Linked DNA regions of Callithrix jacchus. The protein of the gene in region 2 purifies or fractionates together with the protein of the main gene of each other region. This does not show direct contact. Links are inferred from orthologs where the notes say so. Each region holds a gene or a part of one and is shown on either strand. Other genes may lie near its edges. The genes, in order: AMOTL2, NF2 and AMOTL1.

Region 1 (4,118 bases), on a different chromosome or scaffold from region 2:
TTTCTGCAACCATCTCAAGAATATTTGTCAAACATGTTGTGAGGTATCCCCCCAAATGCCTGAAAGACGTGATCTTTCCCGAGATTTTACAACCCAGAGTACACATGTCCACAACCATTCCCCTCCTCCACCAATTACACTGTCCATAAGGTAAGGCCACCCAGAGACCTCTTCACAAATGACCCATTTGCTCAATCATCTCAGATGCAATCACTATTTGAAACAGTATTTGGCTTCCAAGTAAAACACACACACACTTTTTGTGGGAGTTTTATTAAAAATTAACAATGTCCCTGGCTATTAAGCTTCCAGAGTTTCCTTGTCCCTGGTTCCCTCCGGTGAATTTGGGAATTGCAAACTCCATGCTGAGGGGAGGACCCAGCCAGGGGAAGAAGAAATCAGCCCTGACTCTCTGGGTGGACAGGGGCCTGACTGCCCCCACTTCAGCCCAACTGACTTGTAGAGAGGCCCTGTGTAGTGGGAACTGGGACAGGGTGTGTCAGTGAAGGCTTTCTGAAGAAGGGGTTTGCACCTAGCAGACGAAGTGTCCTGGGGGCAGAGAAGAAGATTCCATGCAGGAGCCACAGAAGTGGATACAAGGGAAGGCCGCTGGCTGGCAGGGGTGTAGGGGGAGGTAAAGAAGAGACTAAAACAAGGAGCGGGCAGGTGGAAAGAGGAAGGTTCCTGGCGTCTGCCCAGTCCATCTAGGGAGCCCGGATTCTGATGGCAACGGAGGGGTTTTGAGAATGAAAACCCAAGCAGCCCCTGGTTGGTTGTCTGGTTCTTTCTGTGTGACTCTGGGCACCCTGCTTAAGCTCTCTGAGCCCTGGTGTCCTCATTTATAACACAGGGATGATAACAGAACTCCGTTGGAGGATGCTAGGCAAGGCTGGATCGCTTGACTGGGAGAAAAGCCGGCGGTGGCACACCCTGCGCTCTGCGTAAAGGGGCGCCTATTATCTTGGGGAAGAGGTGGACAGAGCGCCTGGCGGCGGGAGATTCGGTTGGGTAGATGGATCAAATTGACAGGATTTTCCAACACAGATTCACGCTTCCTGTGGAGAAGGTTCGTAAAAGAGCTGGTGAAGGTGTTTGTAAACAAAAGTGCAATTCAAAGGTTGCCGCGGGGGTGAAAGCACTGGGGGTTAGGGGAAAGAGAGGCTCGGAGGCTGGAAGTATTCACTTCTCCCGGGACAAGCTCCCAGCCCTGAGGATATAGACGTCTTTGCGGTCCTTCTTCCCTTACCCCCTCCCCCGGTTTACACACACACGCACAGCCGGAGCCTCTCCCGCAGCAACCCCGGGACAAGCGTGGCACAGCCCTTGCTGTATCGTTCCGTCGATGGGTTTCGGGATGAAGGGTGGAGAGCGGGTCGGCGACTAGGGGTGTAAGCAATAATGGGCCGAGTTGTATTAAATTGTCTCCAGCAGCTCCGATCGCAAAGCGGGGGGCAGGGGCGGACACACTGCGGCCTGGAGGGCGCTGAGTGCGGAGGAACGGAGCTCAGGGGCCGGCCCGGCGCTCAGCCAGCAGCGCCGCCTCCCGGGAGGAAGGCGGGGGACGGGAGGAGGGAGCTGGAGGAGGCGGAGGGCGGAGGAGGGCGGCGCGCTGAGAGGTTATTTGTGGTTCGCTTTGATCCCGAGGGGGAACCTGAAACTCTCACATTCCTGGCATAACAGCCGCCTCCAGCGCGGACCGACCCTGGGGCTGCGCGCTGGGGCGCGAACTGCCAGAGCGTCGGCGCCACTGCCGAGAATACATCTCCGCCGCCGAGCTGAGCAGGGCCGAGCCGGGGGTTGCAGTGTCTGACTGTGCTGGGCACCCGCGGGCCGCAGCGGTAAGGAAGGCCGCTTGGCGCTGGGGAGAGCGCGCGAGGCCACAGAGACGTGCCCCGGCCAAAGCCGGAGTCTCGGCGCAGCCCGGCCTTTTCCGGGAGTCGGAGCCCGGAGGATCGAGCGTACTCCGGGCGTAGTGCGCCCGTTCGAGGCAGCCGCAGTGCCAGGCAAGGGCCGCTCCGCCTGGGAGCCCAGCGCCCCTGGCTTTGCGGGGCTCTAGCAGCGCGCCGGTCCCCCGGGGCTGGGGGAGAGCGGAGAGGGCAGACTCTATAGAGGCGACGGTGTTTCGGGTTGCAGGTAGGCCGGGGTGGGGGTGACGGGGGACAGGCCTGGAGGCGCCGCTTGGGGTTCAATTTGCAGGGTCTCGCGGGTTGATTTGGTTAGGTGGGGGTTACAGGTGCCTTTGCCTCCAACTAGTCCAAGAATTCCTCTTTGTCTTCCTTGGAAAATCCTCTCTGGAGACACGAATTGGCTCTCACCTAGAAAGAATGCAGCCTGCTGTCCAGCCCGGTGACGTCAGCGCTGGAGTATTTGGAAAACAAAGAGGGCTCGAGAGGGAGGGAGGCGGACCCGCGATGCTTAAAGACTTCTCCGGGCCACGGGCTACCCTCACCGGCTAGCCCCAGGCGTACCCGCGACCACCGGCGATCCAGGTCCGCCCGGGGTCGTGGTGGAGCTGGAGTCCTGGCTGGGGTGCGAGAGTCTCCCGGCTTGGAGACTGTCACTTTGGTTCCTTAGGCGAGCTGGAGCCCAGGCCAAGGCAGCCGACGCGCGCTGGCTTAGACAGGCAGCCTTCAGAGAGCTCAGCGCGCTAGCGCAGCAGAGGGGCGCGGCCGGGGGCGCGGAAGCAGGTTTTAGTTAAGGCTCGGTCGTTTGGTATTTGAAAGGTCGTGAATCTGAGGGGCTTGGCCGGGACAAATTCGCGAGGCCTTGGAGATGTTCCTTGCTCCCAGTCCCCGCACACTGTGGAGCGCCCGGAATCTGTCGGGAAGGCTCCGCATTCCTTCCGGCCGCTCCCTTGCAGCCTCTGTGGGAGTCGGCCAGAGAGTAATTATCTTAAGGAAATGCCCCGAGATAAAACTCCAGAGCGAATTAAATCCCGTTTGCTTGCTTTGCCTCGGGTAGCGCCGGAGTCTTGCAATATCTACCCCTCGTTGTGTGTGGGGGCGCATGAATGGGTGCCAGGAAGGATTGGTACAGAGGTGCCCTCCAGACTCATACCCCAGTCCCCAGCTCTGGGCAGCTGGAGCCCGGGGTGGGGAGAGGGAAAGGATTGGGAATGGCTGTTCTGCCAACATACCATAACCCAAACTGAAGCAGGACACGGGCTAGTTTTGTGGCAGAGGAGGGGCCACATTCCTCCCACTCCCCACCAACCCCTGCCTGTTCACACAGGATGTTTGGCAGTATGGAGTCCGTTTAGTTTTCCCTGGATCCCAGTTTGGAGATTTGTGTTGGAGAAAGCCCAAGTCCAGATGATCTTCCTTGACACTGATGTCAAGAAAGATGCTGAAAGCCCATCCTCTGTTTGCTTAGAGGACCAGTGAGGGCTTTTCCAAGTAGCGTGTGTGCGTGCATGTGTGTGTGTTGGGGAGGATAATCATAAAAGACGTCGTGCCATCCTTTCTTTTTCCTGGAGCTCTCTTGCAGTTACCGTCAGCTCTAAGACTGACCCACTGACCTTAATGGGTGGCAACTTTCTGCCTCATCTCACAAAACCATTGTCGAGCCTTTTTATTCATCCCTTATTCAGAAATTCAGGTGCAATTCCTCCTCCTTCCTGTTCACCTTGCAGAATGACTGCCAAGGTCATCCCATGACAGGGAGTCCTGGATTCATTCTGTCAGCAGCCCTTGATGAAGCAGAGCCCAGGCCCACCCCCCAGGAGCTCTTTGGTTCTGGGAGAGTGAGAAAAGTGGGCAGGGGTTCAGTGGGCTAGAGGGTAGTAGGTTGACTGTGCCAGGGCTGGGCTCTGGCATGCTTCATTCTGGGGGGGGTCCTGGAGGACTTTCACCTAGGGCTTCTACTGGACTACATGCCTTCTGTATCACCTGCCAATAAACTGGGTCCCCACCCAGCCCTAGACTGAATAGCTAAGTGGTTAGATCTGAACTAGGCCTGCCTTGGAATTGCTCATCAGGCTGTTTGATGGGTAGGTGGCTATAGAGGCAGTGGTTCCTGGTGGATTATCTTCTGGTTTTCTTATGTCTTTCTCCAGGAATAGTAAGCCTCTATGAATGTTATCACAGTAATCATTTACCAGGATTTTCACTGTACCAGGA
Region 2 (3,457 bases):
AGCAGACAGGCCACTCCCCATGGACTCAAACATCAGAACCCTGTGCTCTGGGTTTGCTTTATTTGAAAAGAAAAGGGATGTGTATAGAAAGGGGAAGCTCTAAAGGAAAATGAGCCAGCACAGGCAACCCCTTCACCCGACAACAGAAGCTGCCAGGTGTGACCATGGGTCTTGAGAGGCTGTCACCACATGAAAGGTCTTGATCTCGAGTTAAAGATACCAGTCTCAAAAGTGCCCAGATTGACCCCATTTCCATGCTAGGGTTATTTATCTAAGGAATACGCCACCAAGACAAAGGACTTTTAGACACACCTGACTGGACAAGAAGCCATAACCTTCCCCAGCCCAAGAATGACATGAGATGGAAAGAATGGCTGGTCCTACAGCCCCATGACATGCTCTTTGGAACGAGGCAGTCTTCTGGGTCCCTGGAGGCTGGTCTGGCTCCACAGGGCGGATGCCTGCCTTAGACTCAAAGCATGCTGCGGCCAGTACCCAGGCACCACCTGCCCTCGAGAGGGCTCAGTGTGGCCCAAGGACAGAGACAGGCAAGCTCATGCACGGGTTAGTATCACAGAGGGCAGTACCATCACCACACAGAGAGTACCTGGGAACAACCTACTTTGAGGACTCAAATGCAGATAGGTCTTCTGCCTTGGGCTTGAGGCTAAACCAGCAAAATAAAATAAGAAAAACAAAAACATACCCTGTGATATCAACAATGCCACAAGTGACATTTGCAAAATGCTTGGATAGGCCTGAAATCGTGACGAGTGATTTTGTTCGTTTTAGTGGCTTGGAACGGGTCTCTTCCGCTTTCAGCACTGCAGGTTTTTGTGGCTGAGGCCCCTGCTCATTACAGCAGCGGTGGAAAGGGTGAGACTGCTCCTGGGACCCAGATGACAAGGCTGGAGGTAAGGGGTGAGGTGGGGTGTCTGAGGCAGCTCATTTAAGGGCTGATTGGCTCATTGGCCCAGTCATCAGTTTTTCTCTTTCCTTAATGGCTGAGGCCTCCCTCGAACTCCCCTTTACTGCTTAATAATTTTGTTTTGGAAGGAAAGCCCAGTAAATTACAGAAGCCAGAGGAAAGAACAATGTGGAATGTGGACATGCCTTTCCTTCTAGGCTGTGCTATTTAAAGGAATCCTCTACCCGGTGCCAGTTGTGACTGGAGTCAAGAGGTAGAAGTCAGGGCTCCCTACTGCCCCCAACAACAGTGGCAGGTAGAAACTGATTCCCTGGAGTTTCAGATACAGCCTAACCACTAAACACAGAGGCCTCCCAAAGAACAACTGCTTGACTGGGCAAAGTCTCTTAACCAAAAACAGGATTGGCTTGTAGACTTTTGGAAAAGAGGTGGATACCTTCTTCTATCGAGAGCTACCAGAAACAAGCAAGAAAACTAAGCTCTCAACAGTGACAAGACCCCAGGAACTTAAAGGGAAGCCCTTTAGTAAAACTGGAAGCCCATTTTAAAGACTGAGGTAAAGAGTAAAAATTAATTAACTATATCAGTATTACCTACTCAATGGGCAGTCCTCTTTTTTTTTTTTTTTTTTTTTGAGATGGAGTCTCGCTCTGTTGCCTAGGCTGGAGTGCAGTGGTGCGATCTCGGCTCACTGTAATTTCCGCCTCCTGGGTTCAAGTGATTCTCCTGCCTCAGCCTCCCTAGTAGCTGGGACTACAGGTGCACACCACCACGCCCAGCTAATTTTTGTAATTTTAGTAGATACAGGGTTTCACCATATTGGTCAGGCTGGTCTCGAACTCTTGACCTCAGGTGATCCACCTGCCTCGGCCTCCCAAAGAGCCACTCTTATCTTAATAACATCTATTTTACAGGTGTTAACCTGATCCAGGGCTATCAGTTAAAAGCAGAGCATTATTTGGCAAGAGAGGACCCTTCTGCTTAGCCCAAATGAGAGAGGTATGCTCTTGGGCTGATAATTAATATGGAAATTAGGTTCTGAATCTCAACAATGCTGAAAGCTCAAAATACAAATGGAGAAAGATATGAAACTATTTGCAACGTAATGAAGTCTTCTCTTTTAAAACAAAGAGGTCCTCTCCTACATACTTCCTTTTAAGTAGGAAAACAAGTTAAAAATTCAGTTTTGTTTTATAGTCCTTGTCACTTAAAGACACAGCAAGTCTAGAGGGAAAGTCCATTCTCAATACCCTCCATTTCATTCTGCTTTCTCATTAAGTAAAGCAGCTCCCTGAGCATAACACCCCTTGGCTTAAAAGGGCATTATGCTTTACTGCTAAATAATGGCTCAAAACCCACCCTGTAACAGGGGTTCATTATATCAGAGCTTTTAACACAAGCTCAACTTCCATCAAGCCAATGGGTTCATAGTCATTGGCAGATTAAAATTCCCTTTCTGGCATGAGTCAAAAAATTTCCTCAACTAAGTACATACAAAAGATGCCAACAGTCTAGTGACTTGGCTACTGAGGAAACCAGCTGCCAACCTCACATTTCATTAACGACTGTCCTGATCAGCAAAATACAAGAAAGAGACCCTGGGTACCTTTTTAATGGTATTGTGCTTGCTGCTGCCACCCCTGTCGGAGTTCTCGTTGTGCAGAATATCCAGGGACGTCTCCCTCTCTTTCAGTTTCAAAGCCTCGATTTCTGTCTTGAGTTCATTGAGCTGCTCCTGCAGATGCTTGCTCTTTTCCATGTATTCCACTCTGCCAGCAAGAGGGTATCGTGCATCAGGGTTTGGGCTCAGATGCTCTGTGGCCCACAAGCTGCTTGGCACGGGACCTAGGGTCTGAGGCCTGGGGTTCACATCTCTACTTGGCCACTCACAGGCTGTGGGAGCTTGGAGTGGTCACTGCTGTGAATGTTTCCTCATCATTAAAATTGGGATAATGATCACAGGGCCGTGGTCAGGATTAAGTTTTAAAAAGTGTAGGAGGCCAGGCACAGTGGCTCCCCTGGAATCCCAGCACTTTGGGTGGCTGAGGCAGGAGGATTGCTTCAGTCCAGGAGTTGGAGACCAGCCTGGGAAACATAATGAGATCCTGTGTCTATTAAAAGAAAAAAAAGAAAAAGAAAAAAGAGAGGAGAAAAAAGAAAAGAAAAAGAGTAGGAAAGCCCTCAGTAAATTCTCATAGGGGGCTCTACAAATACCAGCTGTCACAGATAGCTTTTCATTCTGTAACGAAAACATGAAACAAACTTCCTGGCAACCCAGAACAATCTCCTTGTCTTGACCCTTCTTGGAGCAGTAATTCAATAACCTCTTTTTTTTTTTTTGGATAGGATCTTGCTATGCTGCCAAGGCTGGTCTTGAACTCCTGGCCTGGAAGTGCTGGGATTATAGGCATAAGCCACAGCGCCCAGCCTCACATGATTTCTTTTGATAGGCCACATCCATACTCCCACATGTTCTGAGACTTCATCTGAAGATGACAGAAGCTTACTCAGAAGCTCACGGAATGCAAG
Region 3 (3,647 bases), on a different chromosome or scaffold from region 2:
CTGTCCACTGTTGGCACGGTTCACAGTGGGCCTCCCCTCAGTTCGGGACTTCTGACTGGTGCCCCCTGCCATGTAGTAACCATGGCCCACTGCCCCCTGCTGCTGTTGCTGCTGCTGCTGCTGCCCCCTGAAGAATTGTGACTGCGCTTTGGCCTCTTCGTAAGTGGGCAGTTCCTCATTGTTCTGCTGAGGCTGCGTGGACCGGACCTGTTTCTCCATCACCGTATTGTCCACCTGGTGTTCTTGACCCTGCGGTTCTTGGCGTGCCGACTGGTAGACCATTTGTGGGTCTTCCTGGGTGAGGTTTTCCGTGGAAGAAAAGTTGTTTGTAGGGTGGGCTGGTCCTGCACTCCCTGTGGCCTGGTGCTGAATGGCCAGCAAGTTCATGTTCTCAGTCGGGGTGCCATACCGCAGTTGTTCCTGGATCAGCCGCTGCAATACTGTTCCAGCTGCCGCATCCTCGGAACCTCTCATTTCCACCTCTGAGATCCTCAGGAAATTTGGGGAGTGGAAGTTACAAAGAGGATCTTCAACTAAAAGATAAACATAGGAAAAAAGATATCAGGCTGTTCCACAGGAGATATATGTCTGTGACTATGTGGTACATAATTAACATTCTAACTACGGCAACATTTAAAGATATTTCAAATACATCATCACCTCCATTTACCTGGCAATGTCTCATCGAATTTCTTCTCCTATTCAAAGTGAGTCTACTATTCCCCACTCCCTCTCCTTTGCTTTCTCCTAAACACTGTTCCATCCTTCAACTCCTCCCTTTTCTCTAATCTTCCCACTGACCCTTTCTCTTCAGCACATAAACATATCCAAGTCTTTCCCATCTTAAAAAAGTAATACAAGAGAAAAAAAAAATCAAACCAGAAGAAAACTTTCCTTGGCCCTCTCATATACCTCTAACTACCACCCTGTATCTCTCTTTTCCTTCTCTTCTAGTTGTGTTCAGTGAGTGCCCTACACTTGCTGTCTGCACTTCCCAAATGCTCCATCCACTATCCTCCCCACTGCTCTGATCAGTAACCAAATCCAATGAGAATTTTCCAGTTATCCTGTTACGCACCTAACCTTTCTGAAGCATTTGACATAGTTGGTCATCCTCTTCCTGCAATGCTCTCCTAATCCGGACTCCAGGTCATCCCTCCTCTTGGTCCTGGCTCCTGCCTCTCTCTACACACTATCTCTGGCTCCCTTCTCTTCACCTGTCCCTTAAATTCTGGTGTTTCCCACAGCTCTGTCCTGAGTGCTCTTCCACCCTTACATGTCTCCCAGTGACACCACACCTACCTCTTATCATCAACTACTGACTCATGACCCATACATCTACAACTGCCAGACAATGGCCCTGAGTACTTCTAACTCAACATGTCTTCCTCATCCTGCATGGTTACCCACCCATCCCAACCCCTGTATTCCCTGCATCATCTACTTTCTGTCAAGCCAGAAAACTGAAAGTTTTCCAAAATTCCTTCCTCTCTCTTACTACCCCCAATACTCACACAGCCACTACCTGTCAATTTAACCTTTTCAACATCTCTGCCAACCCTCTTCCTGTTCCTGTGCCAATCTCCAAGTTCATCATTAATAACTTTAATATAACCACAAGAATTACTTTAAACATGTATATGATGTGCCAGCTATTGTACTAAATCTCTCCATGTGTTATTTCATTTATTCCACATAAAACACTAAGAGGTAGATATTAATTCCCTTAACTTACAAATGAGAAGAGAGGTTCACAGAGGTAAATTGCCGAGGCAACCAGGCAGGAAGAGGCAGACCAGGATATGACACCAAGTTTGTGTTCATTCCACATTACAAGCCCTTGGCATCACATGCCCAGGTCATTCCAACAGCCTCCTTATCTATTTCCCTGACACTCATCGTATTCCCACTTCCAAAGCCAGCCCTCTGACCCCAGTCTATCTGGCACACTACTTGAAAGATTGTTCCAATATGTAAATCTAATTATGTCACTCTTCTGTACCAAAATTCCTGGATAATCAATTACAGGATAAAACTGGCATTTTATTACATGGTAAAGCAGATACCACCTACCTAAACATTTCATGCTGCTCCCACCTCCCATTGGCAACTCTTTGGAATTTAAGCTCCATAAATACCCATGTACATATAGTTTCTAAGGAATGTTAGCTCTTTCCAGCCTCTGGACCTTTGTTTGCCTTTTCCTCTCTGCCTAGAAAGACGCATCTCACCATGTCTCTCGGGAAAATTCTTAGACAAGTGATAGCTCCAAAGCTACCTTCTGAGTAAAACCTTTCCTGCTGCAGCCCTGCAGGCTTGAGCCTCTTTCTCCAGTGTCCCCACTCCATTTATATATATCTCCATTGCAGCAATTCTCACAGTAGATGGCAATTATTTATTTATACAAGACTCTAAACTCCTTAAAGGCAAAGATTATGTTGTCTCATCTGGGTCTCCCTAGAACAAAGCCAAATGCCTGGATGTAATAGGCCTCAGGTATTTAACCAATAAAAGAAAACCTACATGAGCTCCATGAAATATAATATCTAGCCCATTTCACAACAGGAAAATTAGTAGTGCATTAAGAATATTATTATAGCATTATAAAAGTAAAAATTCTACTATTAACTGCTGGCATGACCTTAAACAAATTGTTTTCCCTCCCTGAGCCTCAATATCCTCCTTTGTAAACTCAGAGCTGGACTAGATCATCTCTAGGCAGCCTTCACTCCTACAAATGCATGTAATGATGGCTCTATGTTTTAATATATACATACAGAACATTATTTTCCCAAAACAGTCTTTCTTCCCCAAATTCATGTTTTTTTCCTATAAATGACATTCTCAAATATGAGTCATCCAGATAGAAACTTCATATTCACTTTTGACCTTTTTATTCTTTGCTCTCTGCATTTAATCAACTGTCAAGTTAGTTTTTCTCAGTCCACAATGAATTGAGAAAAAAAAATGAAGGTGGTATGATATGCTTATATACAAGATATATAAATACACATCTATTAATACATCTATATGTGTATGTAAATAGATAAATGCATTAGAAGGCTTAAAACTGTCCTTTTTGGGGCAAGAACTGTCAAGGATCACATCCCTCTTATTTTTTTGGTATTTAAATATGAAAAAAGGTGACAACAGATGACATTGTTACTGTCCTTGCAATAGCAAAACGCTGTAACTCTGTGATGGTCCCCTAATTTTCATTAAGAAATTTCACATTTATGACAGTTAAAAATCACAACCAAGCCCTAGTTTCTACACCAACAAGCTCCCCTATCCAGTCCATTCTTCCGTGCTCTCAGCCACTCTCCAGGTTCCAACTCTCCTTACCGGTCATTTAGACATCCTGAATGGCTTCTCAATATCTCTTGCCCCTGGCTCCTTCTCCTTTCACTCCATATTATATTATGACCTGTCTTCCTCTACCAGATAGAGCAGAGAACACTATCTGTTATAATCACATGTTGCCTCCCCAGTGCCTTGAACCCTGCTCTGATACATAGAAGGCATTTGGAACATGATTATTGAGAAAACGAACGGAGTTTACAGACTGATTCCTGAAGTTCAACTTTGATCATAAGGCTCTCCCTGTCACCCTTAACTCCAAACTCTCACCTTTGTGGCTTCTCTGA

What was found.
Region 1: the proteins of NF2 (region 2) and AMOTL2 purify together in Homo sapiens (affinity purification with mass spectrometry; 5 studies listed by BioGRID and IntAct, with this or other methods). This does not show direct contact. The link is inferred for Callithrix jacchus from reciprocal best matches to the Homo sapiens genes NF2 and AMOTL2.
Region 3: the proteins of NF2 (region 2) and AMOTL1 purify together in Homo sapiens (affinity purification with mass spectrometry; 6 studies listed by BioGRID and IntAct, counting the BioPlex papers as one, with this or other methods). This does not show direct contact. The link is inferred for Callithrix jacchus from reciprocal best matches to the Homo sapiens genes NF2 and AMOTL1.

What each region holds. Positions count from the first base shown.
Region 1 is NC_133518.1:49,808,580-49,812,697, forward strand, and holds the start of AMOTL2 (angiomotin-like protein 2), read left to right. Parts: upstream 1-1,265; 5' UTR 1,266-1,388; intron 1,389-1,647; exon of another isoform or gene 1,648-2,133; intron 2,134-2,447; exon of another isoform or gene 2,448-2,489; intron 2,490-4,118. UniProt on the Homo sapiens protein: Regulates the translocation of phosphorylated SRC to peripheral cell-matrix adhesion sites. Required for proper architecture of actin filaments.
Region 2 is NC_133502.1:200,276,827-200,280,283, reverse strand, and holds the end of NF2 (merlin), read right to left. Parts: intron 2,698-3,457; coding exon 2,535-2,697; intron 668-2,534; coding exon of another isoform or gene 666-667; coding exon 555-665; 3' UTR 540-554; downstream 1-539. UniProt on the Homo sapiens protein: Probable regulator of the Hippo/SWH (Sav/Wts/Hpo) signaling pathway, a signaling pathway that plays a pivotal role in tumor suppression by restricting proliferation and promoting apoptosis.
Region 3 is NC_133511.1:45,513,670-45,517,316, forward strand, and holds part of AMOTL1 (angiomotin-like protein 1), read right to left. Parts: intron 534-3,647; coding exon 1-533. UniProt on the Homo sapiens protein: Inhibits the Wnt/beta-catenin signaling pathway, probably by recruiting CTNNB1 to recycling endosomes and hence preventing its translocation to the nucleus.